Styela clava: one gene and its partner. The main gene of each other region encodes a partner of the protein of the gene in region 2 in a complex. Links are inferred from orthologs where the notes say so. Each region holds a gene or a part of one and is shown on either strand. Other genes may lie near its edges.

The links. Proteins that work in one complex are often made in the same cells at the same time.
Region 1: mediator of RNA polymerase II transcription subunit 23-like (region 2) and mediator of RNA polymerase II transcription subunit 7-like share a complex: the UniProt entries of both Drosophila melanogaster proteins name them as parts of the mediator complex. The link is inferred for Styela clava from reciprocal best matches to the Drosophila melanogaster genes MED23 and MED7.

Annotation. Positions count from the first base shown.
Region 1 is NC_135263.1:12,517,040-12,524,928, forward strand, and holds mediator of RNA polymerase II transcription subunit 7-like, read right to left. Parts: upstream 3,344-7,889; 5' UTR 3,232-3,343; coding exon 3,137-3,231; intron 2,946-3,136; exon of another isoform or gene 2,794-2,945; coding exon 2,709-2,793; intron 2,338-2,708; coding exon 2,200-2,337; intron 1,642-2,199; coding exon 1,448-1,641; intron 1,309-1,447; coding exon 1,158-1,308; intron 1,002-1,157; coding exon 960-1,001; intron 742-959; coding exon 565-741; 3' UTR 144-564; downstream 1-143. Other genes in the region: galactose-1-phosphate uridylyltransferase-like, read left to right, coding at 7,411-7,889. UniProt on the Drosophila melanogaster protein: Component of the Mediator complex, a coactivator involved in the regulated transcription of nearly all RNA polymerase II-dependent genes.
Region 2 is NC_135256.1:5,125,315-5,133,153, forward strand, and holds the start of mediator of RNA polymerase II transcription subunit 23-like, read right to left. Parts: upstream 3,183-7,839; 5' UTR 1,757-3,182; coding exon 1-1,756. UniProt on the Drosophila melanogaster protein: Component of the Mediator complex, a coactivator involved in the regulated transcription of nearly all RNA polymerase II-dependent genes.

The DNA of each region.
Region 1 (7,889 bases), on a different chromosome or scaffold from region 2:
CGCACACGTCGAAACCGCCCAAGCTTGGTCTATCTACAGAAGGATGCTTTCCGCTTATGATAAAACAATCGCGAAATATTTTTGGCAACAAAACGGCTGCCCTCGGGATAGATCTATGTACTGGCTCACAAAAGAAGCACAAATGCAGCAAGCATTTACCGTAATTTATTTACTGCTTTATAACATAATACTAACTCGTTTACCAGGTGGTTTAGAAAACTTTCTTTGTTGTAGAAAATTACTATTTATGCATGCTGCCACATGATATCTGTTGCAAATGCGCATAGACCACAATAGAATATACATGTATAGTGAACACATAAAATATATGCCTAAGAGATTATCTGAGTGTACGTAGTATTTCAATTCCATGAATGATCAAGTAGCTGCAGGTTCTAGTCTGGCTAGCAACAAATAGGTGATAGCTTCTTAACAGTCTCACAATTGAGAGTACATAATTCCAGAAATCGCACGATGAAACCCAACAGACAAATCATTTCTTATAGCAACCCTGCAAACTGGGTAGGGCTGTCATATTGCTAGTGCCAGGTAAATATCTTGCTATCAGTCATTCATGTCATTGATAAAGCCGCTTAAAATTTTATCCTTTTTGAATATGTCCTTCACAATATCAGATGTTTCTGTGTCCATACTGTTTTTACCCTGGGCATTCTGAGATATTGATGTTGATAAATCAGTACTAGATAAATCAGTAAGCATGGAATCAACATTCATAGGTTCCTGAAAAAAAATTAAGGTAAATAAGGACGCGAACTGGGAGCTTGAGTATCTAGACAAGTTCAAAACTCAAATAGCATCATAATGTATGAAATCACAAAAGTTTGTATTTATTAAAATACAATTATTAAAAACTCAGAAACTTTGAAATACGATAATTATGGCAGAATAGTGAACTGAGAAATAGAATAGAAAATAATCAATATGAAATATTTCCTTACCTGGTTTCGCATTAGCTCAATGGCTTCAACTGCAGACTGATTCTGAATGAAATAAAAAACTGTTAACCGTATATGGGAAATTGTTGACCTTGAGCAAAATGCAACACTCCATTCATTGAAGTTTTTGAGAAATGGTCAAATGGGCGCATGAAAAAAAGACAAGTCGTGGCATGCGGCATTATATGAAACACCACATACCTCTGCTTGCATTGTCGCAAGTTGAGTACTAGACTCTGACAATATATCACCAGCTTTTTCAATATGTTTCCATAACCTTTCGCCAACGTCTAGCATTTGTGCTTGTTGCATTTCCATCATAACTTTAAGAGTTTCGCGAGCTTGGTGAGGACTGTAATCAAAAAAGAAATAACTTAGTCATGTTACTGTAGTCAAATTTGTACAGTTTCTCATTACTAGTCTTATCACTACTATGAATAACCAATAAGTTTGTGATGCAGATGCAATAACAAAAACAATATATGTAGTACCGAAATTCATTTATTAGGTGATGTATGTGTATAAAAAGCATGTTCAAATCTTCTATCTTCTTATCGCGTGCTTCAGATTCTGTAGCACTAACAAGAACATCCAACAAATCTAAAAAATTGCAGAGTATAGAAACAGTGAGTTTCTTCAATTCCTTTCTTCTGTCATATACAGGTGGATGGAGCCGTTGAAGTCCCTGAAAACATAACTATAATGTTATTCCATATCTTGTTCAGATAGTCATTAAAATGTGTAGAGGCAAAGTTTGTGCAGAAATATCATTTAACCCTGAGAGTTGTAATATTGTAAGCCAGCAATATAACTTAAACAGGTGTTTCTCCAATACTGTGGACAACCAATGCACTTTCAAATTTCAAGAATAATGAGCAATTTTTCTAAATAATTTATCATATGAAATTATCAATTATTTTTTGTATGAAAATGGCTCATATGGATTATCATTTTTTCCGTTGATGACACGCAAAAAAAAAGAAAATAAGTTACTAATGTGAAAATAAAATATAGGCTATATGATATAAATATAAGAACTACCTTTATTTCCAGGCAGTTTTTTGAGATGGAGCATCGAGATATTAGACCTGAAGAAAAAGCATGCCCCAACCATAAGAACTAGAGGTTTCAAATGTTGTCGCATGTTTAATATAGATAACACCATGATAATCGTATGAATATTAATTATGCTACTCCCGTATTCAGGTATTGAACTAGCTTTTCGAATAATAAAAATTAGCACCTGCATTTCCAAAGGTCTGATGATCAGGTCATCTTGATGACATTGTTGTCCAAACATCATGTAAGAACCATCAGGCAGAGCTGGAGGCTTAGGAGCAATATCCCTCTGAACAGCCTCATCCGTATACTTGCTTATGAACTGAAATTTATGCATGAGGAATTATTTGCAATTTCAAAACTAAACAAGATAGGAATAGGAGAATTCAAAAAATAAAATACATCCTCAGAGAGGAAAGTTGGCTCAATCATATGGTAAACCACAGCCTCTCGTCCGGTTACCGGTACCGCACCAGTCCATGTCGGGTATATGTTTAGTTGGCCAGTTATTTGTTTGGGATGCATAGACTTATAGCTATATACAAAACAGGCTAAAATATTCTCAATGAGAACTGGAGAACGGTCTATTTTGATGAAAAAAAACATAATAAAATTTTTATAATACAGTGTGAACTTTGCGCAATATAACATGATTTTATTTTACTTATTAATGAAAACTTTACCGTATCTTACCATCTTGGGTGGCAAAGGAAATGAACTTTGGACTTGGACATCACTTGATCCACCGACAGTCTGCTGAGCCGCAGCCATTGTATTCCTGAATAGCAGGCGAATTATACCGGTACCAGGTTACAGTTCCGTTTTTATTGTACACCATGCGCATGAGAAAGACCGTAACGCTAGACCTGTAGGCCGTAAATATTTAGGTATAGAACAACATTCGAACGTCTTGAAGCCAAAATTCATTAGCATAGTTAGCATAGCATTTAAAGGCATGGCATTAGGTAATACCTTATCGTGGCGTGGTAGTGAAGTCATGCCAGTGGCCGTGTCACATAATAGACAGTAGACACTAGTGGTTAATCCATAGTTTTTATAATGATAAGAATAAGATCATTTTGTAATTCCCAGAAAAACAAACACAAAATATAACAACTCACAGAAAATCGCTGGCGAAACCACTGATAAGATTCAAAACGCGCAGAAATAGGAATATGGTGAGCGCCAATAAATACTGAAATAAGTAAATGCCCATTCATATATTTTGATCCGTATTTCATTGCTGATGCTATGTCTTATTGATTCCTCATGGACTTTCCCCGAGCATCGACTTTCTTGTTTACTTCGTGGCATTGGCCATTGGCCAATTAGCAAGATGCAAAAAGTGACGTGCAATGCTCCCGTTTCGCATCCGCTCGGACACTTTTCTCACTCAGACAAGTTTTCAAGCGTGGTCGTAAACATTCCCTCATTTTCGCGTTTTCGAAATTTATTCTTATGTGGGAAATTTTACCTTTAAAAACCCATGCAAGAATAAAGTGGATTTCTGGAAATGATTTGTGTGCCCTCTGTGGCAAAGAACCAGAATTTATATCACATTTATTTTTGAGATGTGAATTCACTCAACATATATATGATTATATTTTTTCTGTTATTAGGAAAATTAGTAATTTAAGAGAAGACTATTTGACCTGCATTTTATTAGATTTTTCCCAAATGAACAGTGTATTTTTTTCAGATTTTCATGAAAACATTATAGTATTACTTATATCAATAACAAGATATAAGATCTGGTTAGAAAGAAATGCTGTTATATTTCAAAAAAAGATACCTAACGTTCAAACAGTCATAAAACAGATACAAACTTCAATAACATGTCGGAGAAATATAGAAAAAGTTCGAAAATTACCAAATTTCATAAAGGAATTAGAATTTTTAACCAACTGTCTGTGATTATATTTTGAGTAAATGTATAGTTGCTAATATTTTTTTTTCTATTTTTATGTATAACAAATAATGCTTAACTAATGTATTATTAACTTGAAAACATCTTGATATCACTGAATTGATATTACGGATTATACATGGATTATTGAACATTGGAATACTGAAAAATGGAAACTACGTCGGATAATATGGATTACAATTTGAGATAATAATGATTGTAAAAATTTTATTTCCCATTATTTCTATGATTATTACTGTATCACATTTAACACATTTGTGAGCGTTTAAAAAAAAAAAAAAAAAAAAGAAATTTATTCTTTAGTTTTCAGTAGTGTTTCAGAAACTTAAATATAAATCAGATAATTCAATGATCATTCTGTCTTTCTAGGAGTTTTAGTTTAATTGCAGTAATAAAAAATTAGTGTAGAAATAGCAGTGGATAGACTAGGCTAAAATTCTTTACCGGTACTTTTAAAAAACAGATTGTTGTATGCGTTGAATCAAAATGATGGTTTGAAACACATACCCCATTTTACAGGCGCCAACTCGCAAAAGCACTCTTAAAATAACCCCGAAAATTATTGCAATGGTGAAGTTTAGATAGAATTTCTCGGGGGTCAAAGATCGGGGAAAGGTCCGTATACATTATACAGCAAGGGCCAGCCCCCAGGAGCCTTGGTGACCTAACTGGTCTTGCATATTGACCCTCACAAATAATGATCAACCAGTTGTTTATTGTTAAATTTTATTTTGTGTTGCTTCAAATGTATTATAGTGTTGATATTGTTTGTGATAACAAATCTCTCTCCCACATATAACCTATATAACACGCGCATAAATAACGAAAAAAAAAACTAAAAAACGGGAACATTTATCGGCTGAGGGCGCATAACGTTGTGTACAGGGTACTACTTTCGAGTGTACATATGAAAAAATTGGAACGATACAGAGAAGATTAGCAAAAAAAAAAAAAAAGGTTGCCATATTCGCTTTTTTAACGCCAAATTTGCCATTTTTGGCTTTTTTGAAACCCGTATAGCGTCAGAATATCCGTTTGGCTTTTTGGCGTTTTTTAAGTCTATTCTAGTGTCTATTATTAGAATCATATGAAATACAATATTTAGTGTGTAACAACTGAACAATAGCCTATTACTTGTACTTAGCTACTTAACATTAGGATTTCCTGGAGCATCGATTTCCTTGTTTGTTACATTAACTCTTAACCATACCCAATAAGAAATAATTGCAGTTTCTGCAGCTGCTCAGACAGATGTTCAAGCAGGGTTGTAAACATTGCCTCGTTTTTATAGTTTTCGTTCTGTTTCCAAAAAATAGTTATATAACTTAATTTTCATTATGCCTGATATGGTTTATGTGAGCTTTAGTTTAATTCTGCAATTGCAATAACGATGTGATTAACTACGCTAAAATTACTGAATAAGATATCAGTGGTAGAGATGTACCGTTACCACTTTTGTCGCCGATACCAGCTAAAAACGCCGATACGCCGATACTATAAGAAGGCCGATATTCCGATACTATGTAATTATTACTTAATTAGGGGTGCTGTGTAGGGCAGACGGGTTAAAACAATGGTCTTTGAGCGTTGTTCATAGTACACATTATTTCAGATCGAAAAAAAAAGATATATCACATAATATGAAATTAATGTTTGGAGTTTGCTTTAACTGATTAAGATACATTGTACAGTAACGCTAGTAATCTCGGTGTTCAATTAGAAAACTCATAAGCCGGGATGTCAAATTTGAATTTAATGTTAATATCGCGACCTTCGAATATCGTTTTTCGTGTTTAAAAGAATATCGAATATCACCCACATATTCTAGTGCCGCCGTCCTACGCTCAAATTAAAAGCATTTTACAAATATTGTATTTCATGGCTAATCATAATCGTCGACGCAACAAGTCAAAGCCAACATGAATAAAGAATATCAATCAGCACCAACAAAAAGAAGGCCTACCTATAACCGTCGAGGAGGTTTTTTTAGTAAAAATAACATGATCTCTTTCAACGAAATAGATTTTATAATATTTTACAATTGCAATCATATATTTTGAGACAGTCTAGGGATAGGCGGTCATGTCAATATATCTATAAAATAGTTGTGTAATTAAACAAAATTCAAATTAATACTTGCGTAGAGAGATAATTGTGTCGGAATTTAGTTTATCGATGTCGACGGACTAAATGACACTCGTACTTGACGACAAACAGTCAGAATTTATACCTGTGCCAAGGGTCTATGTGCCGTTAATAAGGACCCCAATTCCACTGTATGATTTAAAACCGGGCGCCTGATTGCTTTTTGTTATGTGCGGTGTTGATATATTTCTTCATAATTACTATGTATTATTAAAAATGTCAATATAAAAATTTGACAGCGAAAATATCTAAATTAGTTGAGCTAGTTTGGCTGATAAATAGCTAAAAACACGTGAATATTCTCTCACGGTGGTGGGGACATGTATGGCTCATAGCTCACAATCTCTCCAGACAAAAAATAAATTGAAAAGTAGTATTCCAACTAATCTATTTTGGACCATATCAAAAAGTTAAATATATCGGAAATATCGGCCTTAATCTAACCGATACCGATACATGGCCGATATTGCCGATACCGATATCCGATACATCGGTACATCTCTAATCAGTGGTCCACCTGTGAGCGGCAGGGGGTTAGATAATTTTTTAATAAAATTGATGGTTTATAAATTTTAAAAGTAAAAAATATTCAATAGTAAAGTACGATATAGGGAGAAATTTTTAAGGTATATCATAAGTTTAAGTAGAAACATGTAGGTATATCATATTCTGATGCGGCACCCTGTATTGTATTTATTGAATGGTAAAATAATGCTGTCCGCTCGATATTTAATTTCTACAGTGCTAGGCTATAGGAACTTTACTTTCTATTCGTGTGCCTCACTGAATGAACTAATGGCTCTATATCATCATCGGTACGTTGCCAAGGGCTTAAAATCTGACAAATCATGGGTAGCCTACGGTACTTAGTAAAATTGTTGGCTTTTTCTGGCTTTTTTTATGTCTTGATTTGGCTTTTTTTGATGGCTGGGGTCTGGCAACCCTGATTGTGTAACCAATCACCAAAACATAAATCATGGATCTGTTTACAACAGACACATTTAAAGCAAAACAATAATTTAATTGAGGTGAACAACTGCAAAGCAATGTGCTAGGTGTGAACCAAAGCATACCGTACCTATAACTTGTTGTACACAATGTCACAAAAATGACTTTATTAGTTGCTGCATCCTCGTTGATCTGATTGTTATGCTTCTCAGTTCTCAATTCTGCAATGATTGGTCGTTTGACTAGTTGACAGACAGGTCGCAGTGTGAATCGAAATAAACTTATACCGGTACTTATAATGGGTATAGCTAAATGTGTTTTACCAAATTTTGAATTTGTATATGGCAGTCAATGTATTACAAAAATATTTGAGCTATGTCTGTTTTTAATCCTAATGACCATCAACATATTCGATATAATCCACTGAAAGATGAATGGGTTTTGGTGTCTCCACATCGTCTTAAGAGGCCATGGACTGGACAAGTTGAAAAACCAGTTTTAGATGAAATTCCTGAATACGACCCTAAAAATCCACTGTGTCCTGGCAACATAAGATCGAATGGTAAACAAAATCCAAAGTATTCAGGGACTTATGTTTTCGATAATGATTTTCCTGCTCTACAACCTGAAGTTTTTTCAACAGAAGAAAATAATGACCCTTTGTTTAAGATGTCTCCTGTATCTGGTGAATGCAAAGTAATGTGCTTTCACCCTCATTCAAATGTTACCTTGCCAGAAATGAGCAATAATGATGTAATTGAGGTCATCAATAAATGGGTTGATTTATCAAAAGAGCTTGGTGAAAAGTATACCTGGGTGCAAGTTTTCGAAAACAAAGGATCAGTCATGGGTTG
Region 2 (7,839 bases):
ACAAAGCCACGTTCGAATTATTCTGCGCCAAATTCATAACTTTGACCACAATATGATGAATCAAACTCATTTTTGTGTGAACAGTTAAAGAATCGAGGAGACTCATTGAAAGTGGTGTTGTTTTAGCAAAAGCTACGCAGTTTTCTCCGGGTAAAGGTGTCGTAGTCGAATCTCCATAAATACTGTCAACTAGAGAGTTAATAGGTCCGTTGAAAAGTTCTGTTGTCGTGCTACAAGCGTTACATATCAGAGCGATCGCATAGTCTTGCAAACTGTTGTTCTTTGATTCCAAACAACGCTGCAAATACTCGTGGTGTTTTTGTAATGATACTGGTATCGCACAATGTTGAAATTGTGCAGTTTTGGACGTGGTGCTAATAGACCCCGAAGAGCTGTTAGAACTTGCATTTTCTTGTTGTTGATTATCACTCTGGGCTTTCCTGTTCAAATGCATTAAAATGCAAATTGCAGCAAACTTATGTGTGCTGAACGGCTTCGTTATATCAGGTTCTGGAAGAGGTTGACGTTCAGAATACAACAAATTCATCAACTTTATAATCGGAAGAAAATCGCTGAGTGGATTTTTTTGAATGCTTCCTGAAATAAATTGAAGCAAGACCCACATTAAATGATCACGTCCATTTTTGACATTTCTTGATGAAAGTTTCTGATAAAAATTTTCAACCATTCTTGGGAAAACTGCGAATTGCAAAAGAACAAAGTAGATCACCTGACTTGATAAATGTTGCCATTGTAAATGTATTATACGATAAGCATCGTCCTTTTCATCTAAATTTTCGATTTCACTAGTTCGTTCCATTGTGCTGACAACTAAATCAACCAGTTCTGTTTCTAACGCTTCGCATCTTTGCTTTTGCTGTTTTTGAAGATTCAGAACATGACACACCATATCTCTTGAATACGGCTGCTCAAGAATGTATCTCAAGAGCTTCGTTTGGCGTTGATATAAACTTCTATCATACGGAAGTTGTCCTTTCGTTGTGAATCTCAAAGTCTCATGATCAAGTTTCCAAGTGGTCGTTAACGGAACAGAAAAATGAAAAACAACCGGCAAAAGATGTGACCGTCCTGTTGTGGAAACCATGGTCGCCGTTGCACGAAATCTGTCTACAAACTCCGCGACTTTCCCTGATAGACTCCAATGACCGGATGGTTGGTCCTCCCCAGAATATTGACGAATCTCATTAACGGCTAAATACCCTGGTAATAGACAAGCTTCTGGATCCAATAGGTATTCAATTACATCAATTATAGCATTCATTTGTTCTGTCATTTCAGACCAAGAGGTTGTCGGTACATTTTTCAACTTCAACAGAACTAGATGCAGAATATCACGACATCCTTTATATTCAATTAAATGAATATATTCCTTTAAAATTTCAAACGTTTTGCACCAATGAACACGACGATTATGTTTCAACATTTCATGAGGAATTAAACGCTGCAGAACTGTTTTGGTAGGTAGTATCGAATCCTTCAAACAAATTTTGATCATGTCCGCTACAAAATTTATGTGACGTAAAACAGTTTGTTTATGGAAAAAATTCAACAAACCAGACACACAATCTTCGGGCGCAATCTCTCGGGTCATTTCTTGAAATTGAGAAAGGCATGCACGGAGCCGTTTGTCATGGTCTTCTGGAGTTAAACGAACAAATCCAGCAAAAACATTCACTATTGTATCTGTCTTCAATGCGTCGTCGAAAACTTTTTCAAGTCTACTATCAATAGACATGTTGATTCCCTTGTTTAGAAAAAATTCATTGAATGGAAAATTTTCAGCAAAAGTCGGACATTACTTAAATCCAATATACAGTAAATAATGGCTCTATAAGTATTACTGAAATATCAATTGGATTATTTTATATAGGCCTATTAAATGTCTTGGTAAGAATTACTACAGTATTGATTACAGAAAAAGAATGACATTAATGTGGCAATTAAAAGAAGCGCTAATATAGTAGTACAATACGACACAATATCCAAATTCCTAGAATTTCCCTCCAATTTGTTCAATAAAACATACACTCCATGTGTCTCACAAAAGAGGGCACCACGTCGGATGCGTCATATCACGCCATGCTTGTCTCAATAGTAATCTAAATTAATCGCGGCCGCCATGTGACCAAAATTGCCATTTTTCGCTAAAAACTCTCGAATGCCACGGTAAAAAACTTTTTCCCTTCGGTAAATTGGATTATTTTTTCCAGAGAAATTCAATGATGACGTTTTTAGATTGCGCTTTTTTGTAGTATTTTGCGCCAACTTCATTATACTGCATTTTTACCGATATTGAGGGACAACAATGTCCAGACGTCTGCCAAAGGAGGACTGTCTGATCATCGGTAAAATGGGTTTCTCTGAAACAGGACAATGTCACTCGATTTGTATAGTGTGCTGTACTGTAGTGACATAAATTTGCTTGAATGATTTATTGAATAAGCTAATAGTAGGCTGTTCAAAATTTAAATATCCTGCGACGCCAAAACCAAATTAAATGGTTCTTCCAAATTGAATTAAATATTAAACTAGACGAGTATTTTAATTTAAAAAATCCAGTTATCATACAGATAAATTAGAATTCCGACAATTTCAATCAAATAAATTATACATGAAGTTCTGCACAGTACTGCAGTATTTAACAAAGTGTTAATCGATAAATTAACATAGGAACAGGACTTGAAAATGTATCCAAAGCGAAATTCAAAATGTTTACAAACTTTTTCATGAACTGGCCGACGATATCAAACTTCTAAAAATTGATTCAATATCGATATGATAAATAAAAATACTAAGCACTAAAACTTGGAATGTAGCAGAAAACTTTGAATAAAAAGCAACATAGTAGGATGTATAAACTTATCAGATCAAATTTAATTAGTGTGGCCACAAGTTACATTGTCCACTGTTTAGAAATGAAATACTGCAAACCACACTTGAGATGTGGATGAGAGACATGTACGTACACTGCAGCACTGCCAACAACTCAGGATTTGAAAACAAATTTGAATGAAATTCAGTCACAACATTTATTTTCAAATCACATTTTTGTTTGTTGTTATTTAGGCACTTACTTGCGTTAACTATTTAAGACCTGTAGACCCCAAACTTGTTCACAACTTACTTGATGATAAAATATATTACAAGACTGCAAGAGGAGCCAAGTTTAAATTGCTGAATAGTCTTGTCTAGGAGGCGCGGCGGTGTGGCTCAACGGGCGAGTGGGAGTGGTGAATCCTCTGCGGCCCATGGGCCGGGGCCACGGCCCATCGAATTGGGCCTCGGCCCATCAGGCTATGGGCCGCGGCCCATCAAGTTGTGTAAAGAAACTATTCACTTGGCTAACACAGACAGTCCCCGAACTCATAATAGAACTATAATGTAAAAAAATCTGAATTTTTCTTGTCCTAACCCTAACCTGGTACACATACTACAGGAGTATATTTTTTTGGTTTGAATATTGACAATTTGGTAAAAATTGAAAATTTTGTTAAAATAATTGAATTTTTCTTGATGGGGCTGCGGCCCATCAAGCTATGGGCCACGGCCCATGTGGCCCAATTAGATGGGTCGTGGCCCTGGCCCATGGGCCGTAGAGGAGTCACCACTCCTGTAGCAACGGGCTAAGCGTTAGGAATACGCTCGTGACCGCACCTCTAATTACTCTGCGTGGGTTCGAATCCCATGCAGGGATGGTTATGTGCGAGAGGATTGCTGGACTCCTCGCCGTCGTTGGGTGGTTCATGTAACCGCTGGTCGGTTATGGCTTCCTCCAGCACCAAGTCCATGCTTCCGAAAACAAACAATACGGTAAAACTAATCCCATACCTGACTTGGAATGGTAACCGGACGTGAGGCCGTGGTTCGCCATATGGATAAGCCGTCTTATCAGCTTTCCTCTCCCCCGGGATGAATATGTAAATCCTATCCTATCCTAGTTACCGGTATAGAAAGCAATAAACGAACTTCCACAAGAGTCTATGGTTGAGCCAAATAAGATAATTCACTATGAAAACGATTCCAAGTTACTAAGCAATTAGGTAAACTACCCGTCCCATAATAAAATATATAAATACACAATACAAAACACACAATGGCAAATATTTAAATCCAATTTGCCCATCTTCTCTAAATGTCCAACTTCATTTACTTCCATGTTTGATCCATGTTTCCAGGGTTGATCACTATGATGCACAAAGATCAAAACGTATTTTGAATTCGGCTGTGGTTTTGCTCTGCTGATTTGTATATACTGTAAGTTTTATACGCTTACTTAGTATGATATAATAAGTATACCGTACTGTTTATATCATTTAAAATATTTTTTTAATGTCAACTTTTCCAAACTTTATAAAAAAAATAAGAGAGGGAACATTTATTTTAACCGTGTAGGAATAATTTGCTAATTAGTGGGGCGTGACGACAAATATTAGCGACCTCTAGCGAGTTGTTTTGCCTCATTTTTATCGTCAGCAGGTGACACACTTGAGCTTTTCGTTATTGATTTGTTGCCAGAATTTTCTTCTCATTTCGTAAAAGAACAACTTATTTTTATTCTACTATTTTGTGTAAATTGAAGGATAAAAATACATAGTGTAATATTATAATAATTTTTATATATAAAATTGTTTAATGAACATATATTCCATTACTTTATTAGATATTAATTTCCTTTTGAGTATTTCCAATTATCAGGTCTGGCAATTGTAGATCAATAGGAGAAATGCCGATTCACCGGTGTTGTTTTTCTATTTGCTCGTCGGCATTTCTACATTTGCAGCGATGCAGCTTTATTAAATTCCACTGTTGTCGAGTATACTGGTAGAAGGAAGCATTGCATAGAAGACTGCAATACAATTCTGGAAGGTTCAGTTCTTCGTATTCTAAGGTGAGAATAATTCATCAGTATGCTAGATGTCAAAATACGGTTCTGATTCTGTAATAGACTAAGTTTTATTTTTTTGTTTTGTTTTTATCGTCTTTTATGCTGATTGTGGAGTAAAAATTGTCTTATACCATTATACTCCACTTCTTTACTGGGTATGTTTAGATGGTAGGATATGGTATGAACCACAATTTTTTTCCTAATTTCGATAGATGATATTTTCGATTTCGTGGAATCACTACGGTTTTATATTTCAGGTATTCGTGTGTGCTGTGTATGCAACATTTGTCAAGGTGCCTTGAACCTATAATACTGTGATTCATTGATGCTTTGTGTATGATTGCTGCTCAAAATTTTAGATTTGGTAGATAAATCAACTTTTCTGATTGACTAATTGTATTGCAGTATAGTAGATACTGAGATACGGTACTTTCAAATGAGGCTTCAAGGCTTATCTATAGGGCTTTATATTTATTTATTCTTTGACTTGCATTTTAAGTCAATAGTTTTAAAACATTGAAAATACACCTTGTATGAACAAACAATGTTAAAATGACATTTAAGGGTACAAAGAGGCACCAATCTTACTTTTGAGAAACTTACATTTACATTCACAGTATTTGTTGTATGGTTAATTGAATTTAAATTGTTACCAAATAAACCATTTATGAAAGTCTTTTAATATATATCATATATTTCTTGTTTTTGGTATGAACAACCTTATCATTTTTTGATTGTTCATATTCTTTCTTTGTAGAGATGGATATGTAAATGACTGCAATGGATTACAAGTCTCTTCAATATGTTTCTTTTCTTCGAGAGAAGATTGAAGATTATATCATGGCAGCTGAGCTTAACAATGTAAGTGAATATTCCTTTTATAACAATGGAAATAATATAATGCAATATTTGTAGAGTTTGTAAGTGATGGCTTACAATTTTTTAGGATGTCAAACTCGTTTTATTTTTTGGATAGCTTTTCATACTTGCAATGGTATGGATAAACTTCTGACTACATTTTTCGCCAGACGCCAGACTTAGAATGTGTGAAATTATAATGGGCTGTTACCATTTTATTACCTCACACATCTGATCTTTGACACATTGTATATACCGAGTTCATTTTCTTTAATCACCTAGTCTTTTGTAAAATCTGTTTAGGGAATCGACAGCTTAATGATAGTAAAATTCTACATCCAACTTCATCTATATTGTAACTTATCTACAAGATAGTTCAGAGTATATTTAAAAAAAGCCATAATATTTTATTAAAATCTTTTTTTTTTTGTTCACAAAGTCTTGCCGCAATTTTGCTTTTCTCTTTTCACATTCAAGTCATGCTTTAATTACTGTGAGATTCACTAAAGTTTCAAACACTATTCCGCAGTCAAACACCATTTATTTAATATCAATCCATGATTCCGAAAACAAATAACTGACTAATCTGATATCCGACATGGACTGGTAATCAGACGAGAGGATGTGGTTTGCCATATGATTAAGCCGTCTTATCAGCTTTCCTCTCCCCCAGGATAAATATGTTAATCTTATCCCATCTTGTGGTGAATGTCACAATTCATATGGAGGCGTGTCAATGATGTTCTTTTAGCACGTCACACAATTCTCAATATCTGTTCACTTATTAATCATCAAATCTATGCTATAAATATCTAAGTGGGCGTATCACTGGGCGTTTTCTGATGATGGCACTCCTCTTATTATTGAACAATGACCTTATTGACCTTGAGATATTCCTTCTTTGGTTAACCTATTAGCTTACTGTCAGCATGTCGATTTGTCCTCTAAGGAGGATGCTATTCAAATTGAATTGGGTCCATACGACCATTCCTTCAACTAACTGTTTATTGTAATCCGTCATCATCAAATTTACTCTATATTTTTAAACAACATAATAACATGATTTTGTCCTAATTTTGTTTTAATTTCATAATGTTAACGACCACTACTAGAAAGTATATTTGAAGTTGAATTCAAGCTTGACTACTAGTTTTGATTTATTTTAAACTTATCTTGGTTTTTCTGTGGCAGAGCCTTATTTGTTGCAAACACCGGTAGGTCATAATTGTGGTTGACACAACTTATTTACATGTTTTCTAATGCATTACATTAGTTCATGATATGTTTTCTGTTTCACTCTGGACAGGTTGACATTGTGGGCACTGGCAATAAAGTGAGCAGTGGTTCTCAATATTTTATGGCAGTCATGTCCCTCAGTTTATCATTCCAGTGGTATGTCATTTTGATTGGTAGATTCCAAATCCCATTATGTTTGAGCAATTTATGCTTAACAAAGTGAAAACACCCTGTGAAATCTCTTATCAAACAATGAAACTAGGAAGAATGGGGAGTTTTCTTATGAATGAAAAATAAAATTAATTTTGCGCCAGCATTGTGTCCTCCCCCCCCCTCCCCAACTGTAAATACCTATATTTTTACTCTGTGGCGCCCTTAGGGACTGCTGAAGTGGGGCCTTTGCTTATTCAGCAGTTTATGACACTTTGTGTGAGACCAAAATCTTCAACGTAAGATGCCAGCATATCGTATTTATGTTCCAAATAGCATTTTTTTATCCATTTTTAAATTGATAAATCTTTTGGTTAAAATTTCCACAATTTAAATTCCTATTTAAAAGGTAAGGTCAGATGATGTCACAACATGTTTTCAATATTTCTTTCTAAATAAAATGTCTTTTATTAGTTTGTTTTGTCCTCAATCAACAAGGGCCAAACCTGAGTAAATATACTTAATGTTTCGCAACTATGCTAGAATTGACTTCGGAAGGAATTAAACTGGAGAGAATTTATTTGTTGCTGACTGTCTGTTGGATGTTCATAAAATATAGTTTAAAAACAAGTTCAAGGTTTTTTGGGGATTGGTAAGAATCAGAAATGCTTGTGACTTGGCTTGGCTTG